Linked DNA regions of Caenorhabditis elegans. The protein of the gene in region 2 purifies or fractionates together with the protein of the main gene of each other region. This does not show direct contact. Each region holds a gene or a part of one and is shown on either strand. Other genes may lie near its edges.

What was found. The genes of interacting proteins can lie anywhere in the genome.
Region 1: the proteins of prp-17 (region 2) and mec-12 fractionate together in Caenorhabditis elegans (co-fractionation; one large-scale study listed by BioGRID). This does not show direct contact.
Region 3: the proteins of prp-17 (region 2) and snrp-200 fractionate together in Caenorhabditis elegans (co-fractionation; one large-scale study listed by BioGRID). This does not show direct contact.

What each region holds. Positions count from the first base shown.
Region 1 is NC_003281.10:3,135,866-3,141,119, forward strand, and holds the start of mec-12 (Detyrosinated tubulin alpha-3 chain), read right to left. Parts: upstream 3,370-5,254; 5' UTR 3,270-3,369; coding exon 3,267-3,269; intron 1,885-3,266; coding exon 1,662-1,884; intron 1-1,661.
Region 2 is NC_003279.8:10,934,991-10,941,414, forward strand, and holds prp-17 (Pre-mRNA-processing factor 17), read left to right. Parts: upstream 1-1,824; 5' UTR 1,825-1,849; coding exon 1,850-2,537; intron 2,538-3,408; coding exon 3,409-4,098; intron 4,099-4,523; coding exon 4,524-4,743; intron 4,744-5,161; coding exon 5,162-5,267; 3' UTR 5,268-5,531; downstream 5,532-6,424. Other genes in the region: tag-296 (Glycolipid transfer protein domain-containing protein), read right to left, coding at 45-149, 193-557; F49D11.14 (uncharacterized protein), read right to left, coding at 1,382-1,402, 1,458-1,715; Y95D11A.3 (BZIP domain-containing protein), read left to right, coding at 5,695-5,830, 6,231-6,313.
Region 3 is NC_003280.10:12,733,542-12,738,904, reverse strand, and holds the start of snrp-200 (U5 small nuclear ribonucleoprotein 200 kDa helicase), read left to right. Parts: upstream 1-1,994; 5' UTR 1,995-2,029; coding exon 2,030-2,468; intron 2,469-2,517; coding exon 2,518-3,340; intron 3,341-3,458; coding exon 3,459-4,596; intron 4,597-4,654; coding exon 4,655-5,062; intron 5,063-5,124; coding exon 5,125-5,363. Other genes in the region: pisy-1 (CDP-diacylglycerol--inositol 3-phosphatidyltransferase), read left to right, coding at 579-712, 965-1,066, 1,142-1,401, 1,454-1,620. UniProt on the Caenorhabditis elegans protein: Catalyzes the ATP-dependent unwinding of U4/U6 RNA duplices, an essential step in the assembly of a catalytically active spliceosome. Plays a role in pre-mRNA splicing.

The DNA.
Region 1 (5,254 bases), on a different chromosome or scaffold from region 2:
GGTTTCAACTAACAAAATATAGGAAAATTTCAGGGCTATAAGTTGTGGGTTGACAATTTTTTGATAGTGTTCCTAAATTTTCAGATATTCTCGATTTTAGCAGAGTTCTCAGATTTTCTCCCAAAATCCCCCACGAAAATACACAACTTTTATTTCTTTGCCCATTTTCTCATCTTTCAATGAATTTTTATGTGTCCTCATCCTTCTCCTCCGCCACCAACACTCCCAAATATTCAATTCCAATTCCTTATTTCGGTTTCGGTTTTCGATGAATATCCAATGTTCTTCATCCCTTTCCCTCCCTTCATTTTCTCATCTTTTCTTCTTTTTTATATGAATAGCAGACGAAGAAGTTTGTTGGTGAGAGGGGAAGATGAGCTTCCTCCCGAGAGTATACTTTGTCTATTTGGGAAGTTGATGGAACATGGAACTTTTGGTTTTAGTTGCAAAACTAACGACAAACAAATTTTCTAGACTAACTTGAAACGCCTATAACTTTGCCGGAAGTTGAGTTAATAAAAAATTGTTTATTAACATATTATAGAGCTCAAAATTTCCTACAACTTGGTAGTTGTCAACTTTTTGATAGCTCTCCTCATCGCGGAGATATACGCGTTTAAAGTAAGAACAGTGAGAGAGTGTGGAGGGAGGGGAGACGCAGTCGCGCTCGTTGTCTGCGTCTCTTTCTCTCCCACGATCTTTTACAACGACACGTTAAAACGTTTGTAACTCTGCGTAGAAAACAGCTATCAAAAAAGTTTCAACTAACAAAATGTGAGAAATTTTGTATAGTATTTTCAGATACCCCAAATTTCTCTGAAAATGTTCAAAATTTCCTCCGTCAAATAGCAAAACATTTTCCATTTGCATCCCTAATAGGGTGTCCTACTCCAATTCCATTAAATTCTTGGAGAGAGTACATCCATTCATGTTAGCAGATGTGTAGTGTCTGCGTCTAATTACATCACAATGGGCTCGCCATTTGAAGCAAAAAGAGGAAGAGCTCTTTGAAAATTGAGCCGAAATGGAATTGGTGACGTTTTTCTAGGGTTTTCGGAGAAGCCTAATATCAAAAATTTTCCAATTGCGTTTTTTCGCAGAACCACAAAAAGTCATAAAGTTAGACCTTTTAACTCAAAATTTTAAAATTTTTTTCAGCTTTCCGACACCTTCAAAATACGTATAATCATGACCAGATTTCCAAAAAAGTTTGGTCCCGCCACGAGAGCTACAGTACCCCTTCAGAATTTTCATAGCTTAGTTATGTTTGCATATTCAAATGAAAGTTCTCAAAATGCCAAATATGAAAACCAAAAAAATTAGGTCTTGCGGTGAAACTGGGAATATTGCTGTGCCGTTTTGAAAATTTAAATTTTTTGATTTTCGAAATTTTTCGAAAATCCATAAATGTGCCAAAACTTAAAGTTTTGGGCGGAAATTAGAAGTTATAAATGCGTAAAGTCCTGAACTACGCAAAAATAATAATTTTTAACATCTCTGTAAGATTGCTACAGTACCACATACGTTTTCGTGACGGGACCCAAAAATTTCAGCATTTTCAGAACCTAGTCATGATTATACTTATTTTAACGGGCTTTTAACACTGATTTCAAAAATTTAAGTGAAAATTCAAAAATATCTTCTTAAAAAAAATCCCCCACCAATGACAGTTGGCTCCAAGTCGACCATGACGGCTCTTGGCACATGACGTCCACTTCCAGTTTCCGAGAAGAAAGTGCTGAAAGAGTCATCGGATCCTCCGAGGGACTTGTCAGAAGGCATTTGACCATCGGGCTGAATTCCGTGCTCCAGGCAGTAGAGCTCCCAGCAAGCATTTCCGATTTGGACTCCGGCTTGTCCGATGTGAATCGAAATTACTTCTCTCTGCAAGATAACTTTTTTTGTTTGTAGATTTTAAAGGGTTTTATTATAAAATTTGAATTCAGCAAACGAAGAGCTTCAAATTAAGCCCCATATTGGCTATGTTCCTTTAGATTTGGGTCCCGTCACGAAAGTGTCTACATGGGGTACTGTAGTTTTCGCGGTGGGACCCAGTTTTCTCAGTGAAACCTAGGCATGACTATACTTGAATTGAAGCTCACAGCGTGGTGAATTTGAATTTTTGAATCAAAATTTCAAATTTTCATTTTAAAAAGTTTACTACGATATCTGATATGTATTACAGGTAGACAGGTAGATCAAACCCTCTGAAAAATTTACATTCGTGGCGAATTTCAAATTTGTTCAAACCCACTATTTTATTGTAAAACTCAATTTTCAATAAAATTTCGCGGGTCTCGCCACGAAGAGTGCGTATTTCTTCTAGGAATAGTCCTCTCCTCCCTAAAGTTCCACCCGCAAAAAGAAAGAGAAAAAAGTCAATTTTCGCCCAAATTGGATACATTTTGTGTTGCTCGTCTCAACTCCTCAACAACCCTCCTTCGCCCCGTCCTGCTCGGCGCGGAGCATTTTTCAGTTGAATTGGCAACATTTCCTGTGTTTATGTGGTGGGGCTCCGGAAGTCCGGACCTGGCACCAGGTGTGCTCAATGAGTCGAAAAAATGTTGAAGGGGTGTTGAGGTGGAAGAGTTAATAAATCCTAAAATCCTAGTTTTTCAAAATCAAATTTCGAAAAATTGTTTTTTTTTCCTAAAATTGTTAAAATAATTTGTTTTGATATCAGGGTTCCTAACCAAGATGTGTCCTGATAACGCATACGCAGACGGCGATGGCGTCTGCGTCTCACCACTTCTTACACTATCTCGTCGCTAACTTTAAGTGTTTGTATCTCAGCGAAGAGCTGAGATATCAAAAAATTTCAACAAACAAAATGCAGCACTTAACATTTCCTACATTTTGTTAGTTATCAACTTTTTGACAGTTGCTTTCCGAACGGAGATATGCCCTGTTAAAGTTAGGAGGACTGGAATAGTGTGGCACGAGAAGAGACGCAGACAGCCCCCTTCCACACTGTTTGGCTTGCTACATTTTGAACGAGTATATCTCCACAGGGAAAAGAGTTAGAAGAAAAGTTTCAACTAACGAAATGTAGGAAATTTCAAGGTCTATATTTTGTCTGTTGACAAATTTTTAGTATTCACGTTATTTTTCTAGATACTGGTAGTTTTAACAAGAAATCAGATTCGTAAAGTTTTTATGGCGAGGTTTAAATGTTTCAAAATTCATTTTTCACAAGAATTCATTTCTAGCATCTCAAGAATCTAAACATTCAAATAAACATTGTTCAGAAAATCTAGAAAACCCACCATTTTGCAAAAGAGGAGCTACAAGTTGTGTTTGCTGGGCGACGAGTTGAGATGGAACAGAACACACACAAGTGGGGCTCTGTGCTCTGTGAGCCTCTTTTCTGAAGACGTGCCTTCTCTGCGTCTCTCCGTGTTGACACATGCTCCGCCCCTCCTATGTTTCTTTTTTTGCTCCGCGAGCTCCATGTTTAGGATGGGAAAGGAGACGACATGAAATTCCGAAAAACAGAGAAAAAACGAAATTAAATTAAAATGTTGCGAAATTGTTAAGAACATTGGTTTTGACATATTAAAATTCTGTTGAAAACTAATAAAATACAAAATAAAAAATTTCCTTGACAGTGTTTAAAAATCTTATATCTCTGCTGGTAATTAGCAAAATATAGCTTTTATGATGTTCTACATTTTGATATTTCCCATCGCGAAACTTCTACTTCATATAATTTAACTGTTACTGGGGAAAAAGTAACATATTGCCCAAAGGCAAATTAGAAAGGACTCTAAAGACCTAGTTTTGGTGAGAAGTTTTCAAAAAAAAGTTTCTACAATTTTTTTTAAATTTAAAATTCAAACGTACGTATCTCAAAAACCAGGTGAGTTATCAAAAATTGCCAACAAACAAAATTAAGCTCTTGAAATTTGATACACTTTGTAAGTTGACAACTTTTTGATACATTATCTCGTCGCGGAAATACATGTGTCTAAAGGAACCTAGGTGAAAGGTACATGCCAGGGTGTGCGGCAAATTTTCCGAAATTTGCCATTCACCGAGCTTGGTAAGTTTGCCGAATATTCCACAAAAAAACATCAAAAATATTAAAATTTTCGGATCCCAATTATTATTCTAGTTCAGTTTTTCAAAATACAGTTTGAAAAAAAATCGTTTTTTGTAGATAAAGCTGTATATCTCAAAAACCAGGAAAGTTATCAAAAATTTGTTCACTAGCAAATTGTAGACAATTTTTAGAGCTATACTTTGTTTGTTGACAATTTTTTCGTAGCTCTACAGGTTTTTGAGAGAAATCGATTAAAAAACAATTGAAAAAAAACTTCTTGCTTTGAAATTTTTTTGTAATTTTTCAAAACCTTTTCGCAAGTCAGTTGAATTTTTTAAAGTTTCTACATGTTAAAAAATTAATAATTAAAAATTAATTTTTACATTTTCCAACAACACATTCTTCTCCCCACCACTTCCACCAATTTCCAGCCATCTGCCCTCTCTGGCTCCGTGAGCCCTCAGCAAACAGTATCAGGTTACCCCTTAGAGACTCCGCCCAACTACAGTAATCCAAGGAAATAGTGTGTAAGGTGGAGAGAGCCGAGAGAGAAAGCCATCTGGAAATGAGCAAAAGGATTGGTTTACCGATGGAAATGGAAAGAACCTCCTAATGCATTCAGATTCAGAGCTCTGCGATGAAGCTTGCGGTGACTAGTATTCAGCTGTGTATTTATTGGCCTTTACTGCTTAAAATGTATTCAAAACTAGTATAATTTCAAAAAAATTCCTTTTTTTTTGTTAAATTTTAAGTTTTTCCCTACTACCAATAGGATCCTAGGACCTTATCACAATTTCTAACACTCAAATTTTGATGAATTTGGAATTTTTTGGGGGACTTGGGACCACTGTTGTATGAATTTTTAAGCTGATGATCTTCCTTTTTCATTCATTTTTGATAGGGTCTCATATTCTTGGAAGAACTGGAAAATGATAAATTTTGAGAAGAAAAGGCTTTGAGAAAAAAGAACGAAGGGAATTTTGTTGTGCAGTTTTTGAAAATTTTTGAAAAAAAATCGAAAAATCTCAAATTGTCTAGCTGAATTGTTTTTTTTTCAGTTTGTGTATTTTATTGATTTTGTAAAAAAGAGTTTGACGATAGCTTTAATTTTACAGAAAAAATTCGGCAAAAAATTTCAATTTCGATCAAAGTTAAAATTTCGAGAATTTTCAACATTTTTTAAACATTTTTAACATTTTGGAGTTAGCCCCA
Region 2 (6,424 bases):
AAATTAAAAATTCATAACATGAAATTCAGATTTTCAGAGCATACTTTGCCAGGGTTCCATCATAGCATTCCTTGCAAATCTTGGGAATGCTGTCATCGTTAGTGGCAGCCACTGCCGCATACATGAACTCGACGATGAACTCGAGAGCCCTGGAAATTCAAGGAAATTTTAAGATTTCTAGTCAAAAAGTACCGATTTAAATGTAAAATTGCCACTGCTCCACTCTCTTTTCCATTCTTCTCCATTGGTTTTTCACTGTGAACAAGAGCAACTACAGTTTTGTATCCTTCTGGATTCGCCGTATGAAGCTCCTTCAGAAGATCAATCTTCTCACGAACATCTTTCTCCACAAATTCAAAGATTTTTCCGAGCATTCCGATGAATTTGCACAGCTCTTCGTAGACTTCGACGAATGTCAGAAGCTCAACGTCATCCGGAGTCACTTCCGGGCAGTTTTCCACGTCACTTTTCTCCACGATAATGACGTCAGTGGAGAGTTTCTTCATTTGAGTGGCTACGAGCTTAATGCAGAAGGGTGAAGCGGTGTCTTCGGTCATTTTTAGCTGAAATTTTGGAATTTTATCGATTTTTACGAAAAAAAAATCACAAAAATAGAGAGAAAATAGCGAAAGGAGGCGATAAACTTTCATCAAATGTATTATAAAAGCCGTTGTTTTGATTTTAAACTGCTGATTCATAGTGAGCGCGTGATTCAAAAGCATCAGAAATCGCAGGAAAAACAAAACTGGAGACGACAAAATTATATTGAATTTATCTTTAGAAACAATGAGTAAAATTCATTTTTTTTAACGAAATTCCAGAACCAAATCTTCTTGAGTATTGACCAATATATTGGGAAATTATGTAAAAAATCAGCAATTTTTGATTTTCATGGATTTTCGCCGTATTCGGCGAATGTGAAAACGGAAAACATGCTTAAATAAATTATAAATTAGTATTTAAACAATTTGAAACATAAAAATCCGTTTAAAAACTTCTAAAACCGAAAAAAAAAAGCTGAAAAACGTGGAAAAAATTGATAAAAATTTATTTTTTCGATGGTAATGCAAGAGCGCCCCAATGCACACTCTCTTTTCGAATCATTCGAATGGCAATTTTCATTTATTTTTGTGTAAAAATATCGGTTTTCCTTGTTTTTTAATGCTTTTGCGCTGATTTTTGATGTAAAAGCTATTAGAAATTGTCTAAATTTTGTCGGAATGCATCGGGAACCATCACAATTTGGTTTTTTGGGTGTATTTCTCTTGTCTGAAAGTTTCCCGCTGGAGGTTAAACAATTGTTCCAAGAAATCGATAGAAACGTTTCAAGACATATTTAACGAAAAATATTTATTCTAAAAGATCAAGTACAGCACGAACATCAATTTTCCTCCGTTGAAAGCTGAAAATATACAGAATTTGTCAGATTCATTTATTTTTTCTCGGCAATCCCTCACCGATCCGCGCTTCTTTTTCCCTTTCTTCCGTCTCGCATCCGTCTTAATCTTCGCAATTTCTTGCTCCAAATGCCATTGAACAGGAGTCTCGCATGCCACGTCACCATTTGTCACGTCACCAACCGCCCGATACTGTAACCAAAGCGGTATCGAAGCGGAGACGACAAAGATGACGGCGAGCCCAATGTAGGACCAATAGAGCTCCGAAGTGTCCGTCTGATAGTGCTTGAAATAGTGTGAAACTTGATATTTGTCCATTTTTTGTTGTAGTTTTTCTCTGTATTTGAAATGAGAAATGTTAATTTTTTTCTTATTTTTCTCGAAAACGAACGTGAAATTTAAATTTAAAAATTAAAATTAGTTTTTTTTTCAGAAACTCAAACAAATCAAAAATGGATGCGCTACAAGCGTATGGCGGTAGCGACAGTGAACACTCAGATGATGACGCCAGCATGGATCAGGTCGCAAAAGGAAAATCATCGACATTGCTGGAAAGAGCCATAGTCACTGCTCCGGACGTTGAGTCGAAAAGTGCAATTCGACAAGTAGCGATTGTAGATCCAAAGACTAAAGAGATTAAATCAAATCCAAAATTTGATCAGCTCTTCAAGCCAGAATCTGGGCCAGTAAATCACTTTAAATCAGAGCAACAAAGATCACAAAAGAACACATTGACAGGATTCGTCGAGCCTGCACATCTCAATGAATTTCATTTTAATCGACAAATTCGAAGCTTTGATACTCTTGGGTACGCTCAGAATCCGACTGCCGAATCCGGTACAACTCATTTCGTGGGAGACGTCAAAAAAGCAGAAGCCGAGAAAGGAGTTTCACTTTTTGAATCGAAAAAGACTGGCGGGGAGAAGAGAAAACGAGTTAGAAATGATGATTCAGCAGATATTGATGGATATACTGGACCATGGAGTCGATTTATTGATGAAAAGACAGTCGCTAAACCAACACCAGAACTTCAGAAACAAATGGATGAAATTGTGAAGAAGAGGCAAGAAAAAAGCAGGCGATTCAAGAAAGAAAAGGAGGATAGTGAGCAAATGGCTGAAGAGAGCTCCACGCTTCATTGTACGAGTTTATTCTTGATTGTTTGGCTTGAAATGGCTCAAAAAGGCCTTTAAAGTTCCGGAAATGTGCTAAATTTAGCTGAAATTTTCCAATTTTCAGTTGATTTTTTGATCAGATTTGTGCTCTTTCTGACTGAAAATGTAATTAGATAAACAGAAAACGCTAGATAAACGTGAAAATGGAAGATTAATTGGATAAATTACGATTTTAGCTAAAATTGGCCAAATTTTAGAGCCATTTTATTAGATTTAAGCAAAATTTTAAGCTCATTTTAGCCATTTTCGAATATTTAACCCAATTTTTAAACGTTGCAGAGAAATTTCGTTTCTTTTTTTGAAATTTTTAACCGATTTTCAGCGAATTAACTGTTTTTCCGAGATTTTAAACTTTTATTTTTTATTTTTAGCGAAATTTTTTTGGCATTTCAAGGGAAATCTAAAACAATTTGTATTGATAAGAGAAAAAGATAGTTTTCCAAGATTTTTGCTAAATTTAATCTGATCATTTTAAACATTTTTAGTGAAATTTGGCCCAAGTTTGTTAACGATTTAAGATAAAATTTGCTATTTGTTGTTTAATTTCAACAATTTCAGCTCAGTTTAGCCATTTTTGGAATTTGATTCAATTTTTTAAAGAATTTTACCGAAATTTGGCACCTTATTTTTTAAATTATCTTGAAATTTTGAAACAATATTTCGCTTAACATGGATAAATTGCTTCGAAAATCGAAAATTTTGCATTCTGAATAAGAAATACCAATTTTAGAGTGTTTTCAGAAGATTTTTTTCGGTTTTCGAATGGTTCGATTTTTCGGTTATGCTCAAAAGTTTTTCTGGAAGTACATCAACTCTTCTAATAATTAATTTTTCAGTGAAAGAAGCCGAGGATTACCAAGGTCGCTCATTTCTTGTTCCACCATCATTCACCGGTGTCAATCTCCGAGAGGACTACGTTCCCGAGCGATGTTTCGTACCGAAAAAGCTTGTTCACACGTATCGAGGACATAACAAAGGTGTCAATTTCCTTCAATGGTTCCCGAAAAGTGCTCATTTATTCTTGTCATGCTCAATGGACACAAAAATCAAATTATGGGAAGTATATGATCGTCAGCGAGTTGTCAGAACATACGCAGGCCATAAGCTTCCTGTTCGTGAAGTTGCATTTAATAATGAGGGTACAGAATTCTTGTCAGCATCTTTTGATCGATACGTGAAGCTTTGGGATACTGAAACTGGACAAGTTAAGCAGAGATTTCATACTGGACACGTACCGTATTGCTTGAAATATCATCCAGATGATGATAAGAATCATATGTTTTTGGTTGGAATGCAGAATAAGAAGATTATTCAATGGGATTCAAGATCTGGAGAAATTGTTCAAGAATACGATCGTCACTTGCAGGCAGTCAATTCTATCACATTTTTCGACAAGAATCGTCGTTTCGCATCCACTTCTGATGATAAAAGTGTCAGAATTTGGGAATGGGAGATCCCAGTAGACACGAAACTTATTCAAAATGTTGGACTTCATGCGATTCCGACTATGACAAAGAGTCCTAATGGTAATTATTGAGGAACATTAAATTCAGGGAACGCGTATTGTGCAATGTATATGACGCGCAAAATATCTCGTAGCGAAAACTACAGTAATCCTTAAAATGATTACTGTAGCGCTGTTGTGTCGATTTACGGGCTCAATTTTCGGAACGAATTTCATTTCGAATAGTGAGCGATTTTTCATTTTTTCTCCAATTTTTCGCAAAATTGAAGGAAGCTGAAATACCGTTGCCACTATTTAAAAAAAAATATTTCAAAAATCGAGCCCGTAAATCAACACAAGCGCTACAGTAGTCATTTTAAGGGTTACTGTAGTTTTCGCTACGAGATATTTTGCGCGTCGAATATGTTGCTCAATACACATTCACAATGCTTTGTGCTCCTGTAATAAAAATACTTAAAGCTCAAATTTCTCTCATTTCTTTTCCAGATAAATGGGTTGTGGGACAATGCATGGACAATCGGATAGTCCTTTTCCAGCTTGTCGATGATAAGCTTCGATTCTCAAAAAAGAAGGCTTTCAGAGGACACAATGCGGCTGGATATGCGTGCAATATCGATTTTTCGCCGGATCAAAGTTTCCTAATCTCTGGTGATGCTGATGGAAAATTGTTTATTTGGGATTGGAGAACACACAAAATTGTTGGAAAGTAAGGTTTTCTATGTGGAAATTATTGATTTTTTGTTTAAAAAAAAGATGGAAACTGGTAAAAAATTTAAAAATCACGATTTTTCCGATTATTTTGCGCTTTAATATAAAAAAATGCTGAGAAAGCCCTGAATTTAATATAAAATTTTCTCTCATTTAATTAAATTTTTTCTAATTTAAAACATTCTAATTGAATAAAAAAGTGAAAAGTACCCAACTTTAACGATTTTTACCTTAAAAATTGAGTTTTAAACCCGAAAAATCCAAAAAATAAACTTTTTTTTCGATTTTAATGCGTCAAAATTTCTGAAAAAATCGTAATTTTTCAATTTTTCAATCGTTATTTTCAGTAAATACGCCACATTTTCCATTATTAAAATAAAAAACCCCAAAACCTCCAAAAAATGTATGATTTTCAGATGGAAAGCTCATGATAGCACTTGTATCGCAGCACTATGGCATCCACATGAAAAAAGCCGAATGATTACTGCTGGATGGGATGGTCTCATTAAAATGTGGAATTAATTGTTGATTTTTCCCTTTTTTCCCAAAAAAAAATTATTATTTTCCCAAATTTTGGCTCTTTTTCTCACGAGTTTTTGTCCCATCTCTCACATTTCCCTGTTCATTAAAAAAATTTTTTTTTTCGTAATAATGTTTTACTTTCTCCTGTTTCAATTATTTATTTTGTATCTTTGTTCATTTATTTGTTTTTTCTTCCAATTTTAAACCCTATTCTTACAGAACATTTCCGACACACGGAAATTGATAAAATTATTTTTATTTTTTAGCCTGAAATTTCAGTTTACCCAATTAATGGTTATCGACCAGATTTTATTTTAATTTTTTAAAGGAAAATTAGTTTTTTTTTCTATGAAAAAAAGTTATATATTTTTTTGGAAATTTATAACTCTTAAAAAAATTCAATTTTTTCAAATAAATAAAATTTCAGATGGCTTCTCAACCGGAGCTCATAATGGTTGACGAGCAAGTCGTCGCTTATGAAGTAGAAATTGATAGTTTTGATGTAAAATATGATGAAGAGGAACATGATGGTCAAGGGACACAAGATGAACCATTTTCTCATGGTACGGAACAGTTTTACGCTGAAAAATTCCAGAATTCCAAAAAATGAAACCTAAAATAGTGATAAAAAGGCGTTTTGAATATTAAATTGAAGAAAAAAATCAGCAAAAATTGTTCAAAATCAAGAATTTTAACGGAAAAGTGTAAAATCTTCTCCACGGGGAGTACACATGCTTCGTAAATCGACATATGGTCAATTTTAAAGTTTTGAAAATTGAAATGCCGGCAAAAAATCTTTTCTTGTTTTTTTTTCGCAAAAAATTCAATTTTCGAAAAAATAATTATAGAAAATTGCATTTTTTGACCGAAAAGTCAATAAAAATAACAGAAAAAATCGATAAACCGTTGAAAAATTTTTTTTTAATTCAAAAATTCAGAAATTCTTAAAATTCAAATTTCCAGATGAGCCAAGCACCAGCGGTTATCACCATCACTACCAATTTCCCAATGACGTGGATCCAAATGATGTTTATTTATTCGATGAGGTATCAATTATCCGAAATTTGGCGATTTTTGAGCCAAAACTACGGTACCCGGTCTCGACACGACAATTTTTGTTAAATTAAAAAAGGTGTGCGCCTTTGAAGGTTACTGTA
Region 3 (5,363 bases), on a different chromosome or scaffold from region 2:
GTTTTCCGGCAGTTTGTTGAATAATTTAGCTCAAAAATGTTCTAAATTGTGAGATTTATTCGTTTTTAAAGTATAAATTGTGTGACAAGGACCATTGCATCGCTGGGAAGAGCAATAGTTAACTATTTCGCTGGAATTCTAGTAATCGGACGATTCTGTGGACTTATTGAGAGGTTTTTGATATTTTCTTATTGAAGCGTGTTCCTATGCTGAATATTTAGCTGATTTTGCTGCAAAAACAAGTTTTTCGGCCATATGCAAACTGATTCTCGAAAAAAAATCCCAGTTCTCTTAATTTTTCCCATTAATTCTCCTCATTTACGCTTCCAACTCCTACATTTTTGCCTTAAAAGCTTTCCATCTTATTAGCTAGCCAAATGAAGCGAGAATAAACAATTTCTAGCTCTTCTCTCATCTCCAACCATCTGCGTCTCCGCTCTCTTCCCATTTTCGAAAATGTCTTGCTTTGGAGCAGATGGACCGTTGTCAAGGCATTTTTTATCGCTTTTTTTCGTTTTCCCGTGTTTTCAATCGATTTCTCGTTCTCATTTATTCAAAAACAATATTTTCAGCTTAAAATGGAACCGACAGCCGCCGAGAACAACAACAATGTGTGGCTATTCTACCCGAATCTCATCGGTTATGGACGCATAGTACTCGCCATTTTGGCCATGTACTACATGTCGTCAGCGCCATGGTGTGCAATGTTCTGGTGAGTTTTGGCGAGCTGGAAATCGATTTTTGCATCAAAAATTAGCTAATATCCATGTTTACTACTACTTTTCATCTCTTTTTCACTGAAATGTCGAGTATTTTTGCGATGCATGGTAAAGAAATCAAGGTGACCAGGTTTCTTTTCAATTTTCCCCCATAATTGAAGAGTTACAATGCCATCTGACAAGGTTTTTCAGAAGAAAAGTCCTGAAAATTAGATTTTCGTAATTAAAATTTCTCATAATTTCAGCTATGCACTCAGCGCCGGACTCGACGCGTTTGACGGATGGGCGGCACGGACCTACAATCAATCGAGCCGATTTGGAGCAATGCTCGATCAGCTCACCGATCGGTACGTTAAAATTTCTCAAATATGCTGGAAAATTCGAGAAAAAAATTGGATTCGGTAAAATTCTCATATTTTCAGCTGCGCCCTGCTGGCCTTGGTGATGGCGCTCTGCAAGTTCTACCCGGATCACTTGTTCCTGCTTCAACTGTCGGCCGTAATCGACATCGCATCTCACTGGCTTCACCTTCACGCCACTGATCTCTCCGGTGCCACGAGCCACAAGCAGTCTTCGAATTGGCTTCTGAACCTCTACTACACGGATCGATTGTTCCTCGGATTCATGTGCGGCGGAAATGAGGCTTTCTACATTTTGCTCTACATTCGCGCGTTCTGGGCTGGTAAATATTTGATTTATTTTTGCTATAATTTATTAATTCCTCTAATTTTCAGGACCACTGATCTTCAACTTCCACTTCATGTCGATCTTCCCACTCATCGCCTTCCCGATTGCCTTCGTCAAGTCCGCCATCTCCGTCGTCCATCTGTACACTGCCGCCGAGATGGTCGTTGCTCACGATGTGAAGCTCCGTGTTGAGGCTGCTCAGAAGGCCCAATGATCTCCGGATCTCCCCGAAGTCTCCAAGATTCTCCTCTGATTCCCCATGAGCTTTTGTATACACATTCCCCACTACTTAATTCACGAGCTTTACGCTTAGCTTTAGTCCTTTAGTGCTCTCGTCTCAGGAAAATGTTTCCGATTTCCATTTAATTCCAAATTTGAACATATTTCTCTGTAATTTTTTTCCCCGTAATTTTTTTTTTCGCAAATTCCCGATGTACTTACTCTGTAAAATAATATTTATTTTGTTTATTTTATTTTCCATTTATTATTCAATTCGAATTGGTTTTCAGCCAGCCGATTTTATCTATTTTCTCTCAATTTTTATTTCTTGTTTTGATTTTTTTAACCTTAATCCCACGATTTTTGCAGGATATTCGACTATCCCGAGTTGACTACAAACTACAATGGCCGACGAGCTAGCCCGAATCCAGCAGTATGAGTACCGGCAGAACTCCAACTTGGTTCTGTCGGTCGACTACAATCTGACGGATCGGCGTGGCAGAGAGGAGCCGACTGGCGAGGTGCTGCCGATCACGGATAAGGAGATGCGCAAAATGAAGATGGGTGACCGGGCGATCAAGGGAAAAGCGCCGGTGCAGGATCAGAAGAAGAAGAGAAAGAAGAAGGACGACGAGAAAGCACAACAGTTCGGCCGGAATGTCCTTGTCGACAATAATGAGCTCATGGGAGCCTACAAGCCCAGAACCCAGGAGACGAAGCAGACTTATGAAGTGATTTTGTCTTTCATTTTGGACGCACTTGGCGATGTTCCACGCGAGGTTCTGTGCGGAGCCGCTGACGAGGTGCTTCTCACGCTGAAAAACGACAAATTCCGAGATAAAGGTGAGGTGAAAATCGAAGATTTTCAATAAAATTTATATTTTTTTTTCAGAGAAGAAGAAAGAAGTGGAAGCTCTTCTGGGACCGCTCACCGACGATCGTATCGCAGTTCTCATCAACTTATCGAAGAAGATCAGCGATTTTTCGATCGAAGAGGAGAATAAGCCTGAAGGCGATGGAGACATCTACGAGAATGAGGGTGTAAATGTGCAGTTCGACTCGGATGAGGAAGAAGATGACGGTGGGATGGTTAATGAGATCAAAGGTGATAGTGAGGAGGAGAGTGAAGAGGAAGAAGGTGTGGATACAGATTACACGGCAACACTCAAAGGAGATGGTCATTTGACGGAAGATGAGCAAAAAGCACGAGGAATTCTTCATCCACGTGACATCGACGCTCATTGGATCCAAAGATCGCTCGCCAAGTACTTCAAAGATCCTCTGATCGCCCAACAGAAGCAAACGGAAGTCATCGGAATTCTCAAGAACGCCGCCGACGATCGTGACGCCGAGAATCAGCTTGTCCTGCTGTTAGGCTTCGATCAGTTCGAGTTCATCAAGTGCCTTCGCCAGAATCGTCTTATGATCCTCTACTGTACACTTTTGCGTCAGGCGAACGAGAAGGAGCGTCTCCAAATCGAAGATGATATGCGATCTCGTCCAGAGCTTCATCCGATTCTTGCACTTCTTCAGGAGACTGATGAGGGATCTGTTGTGCAGGTGGAAAAGTCGAAACGAGACGCGGAGAAGTCGAAGAAGGCCGCCACAGCAGCAAATGAAGCCATCAGTGCGGGACAGTGGCAGGCGGGCCGCAAGATGTTGGATCTAAACGATCTCACGTTCAGTCAAGGATCTCATTTGATGAGCAATAAAAGGTAAATACAATTTTATTTTAAAAGTACGATTTTCCATTAGAAAATTAAGGAAATTTGATTCATTATGCACTTTAAAAGTCCACATTCCCAAAAAACCCTAAAATTCTCAATTTTGCAGATGCGAGCTCCCCGACGGATCCTACCGCCGCCAGAAAAAGTCCTACGAAGAAATCCACGTACCAGCCCTCAAACCACGACCATTTGCTGAAGGAGAGAAGCTCGTCAGTGTCTCAGAGCTCCCGAAATGGGCCCAACCGGCTTTCGACGGCTACAAGTCGCTGAACAGGATCCAATCCCGACTCTGTGATTCAGCTCTTCGATCCAAAGAGCATCTCTTGCTCTGTGCTCCAACTGGAGCTGGAAAGACGAACGTGGCGCTGCTCACGATGCTCCAAGAAATCGGAAACCACTTGGCAGAGGATGGAAGTGTGAAGCTCGATGAGTTCAAGATTGTCTACATTGCTCCGATGAAGTCACTGGTTCAAGAGATGGTTGGAAGCTTCTCAAAACGTCTTGCTCCATTCGGAATCACTGTCGGCGAAATGACCGGAGATGCTCAAATGAGCAAAGAGCAGTTCATGGCGACACAAGTGATCGTTTGTACGCCGGAAAAGTATGATGTGGTGACGCGAAAAGGCGGAGAGAGAGCCTATAACCAGATGGTTCGGCTGTTGATCATTGATGAGATCCATCTGCTTCACGATGATCGTGGACCGGTGTTGGAGTCGATCGTCGTCAGAACGATTCGTCAAATGGAGCAGAATCACGATGAGTGCCGACTGGTCGGACTTTCAGCAACTCTTCCGAATTATCAAGATGTGGCGACGTTCTTGCGAGTGAAGCCTGAGCATTTGCACTTCTTTGATAACAGCTATCGTCCAGTTCCCCTCGAGCAACAATATATTGGAGTTACTGAGAAGAAGGCTTTGAAGAGGTTCCAGGCGATGAACGAAGTGGTGTACGACAAGATTATGGAGCACGCCGGAAAGAGCCAAGTCCTCGTTTTTGTGCATTCCCGAAAGGAAACTGCGAAAACCGCGAAAGCGATTCGTGACGCGTGCCTCGAGAAGGACACGCTGTCGGCGTTCATGCGTGAGGGCTCAGCGAGCACAGAAATCCTGAGAACCGAGGCCGAGCAGGCGAAGAATTTGGATTTGAAGGACCTCTTGCCGTATGGATTCGCTATTCATCACGCTGGAATGAACAGAGTTGATCGTACACTCGTCGAGGATTTGTTCGCTGATCGGCATATTCAGGTAGGGGAATCGAAAATTTCCCGAAAATATTTCAAATCTTCAAAATATTATTTTTCAGGTGCTCTTTTCGACTGCAACTCTCGCTTGGGGAGTCAATCTGCCGGCTCATACTGTAATCATCAAGGGAACTCAGATCTATAACCCGGAAAAAGGACGTTGGACAGAGCTCGGAGCACTCGACATCATGCAAATGCTCGGAAGAGCCGGACGTCCACAGTACGATGATCGCGGAGAGGGAATTCTCATCACAAATCACTCGGAGCTCCAGTATTATCTCTCGCTGATGAATCAACAGCTTCCTGTCGAGTCGCAGATGGTCTCACGGCTCACTGATATGCTCAACGCTGAGGTTGTGCTCGGCACTGTCAGTAGTGTGTCGGAGGCGACGAATTGGTTGGGTTACACTTTCCTTTTTGTGAGAATGTTGAAGAATCCGACGCTTTATGGAATTACACATGAGCAAGCGGTAGGTTAAGCTTGAAATTTTAGCATTTTTCATAGAAAACCCTAAAATTCTCCAATTTTCAGCGCGCCGATCCTCTTCTAGAACAACGTCGTGCCGATCTCATCCACACAGCTTGCGTGCTTCTGGACAAGGCCGGACTCATCAAATATGACAAGCGAAGCGGAATCATTCAGGCCACCGAGCTCGGGCGCATCGCTTCTCACTTCTACTGCACATACGAGTCGATGCAAACCTACAACAAGCTGCTGGTCGAGACGTGCTCGGATATCGATCTCTTCAGAATTTTCTCGATGAGCTCCGA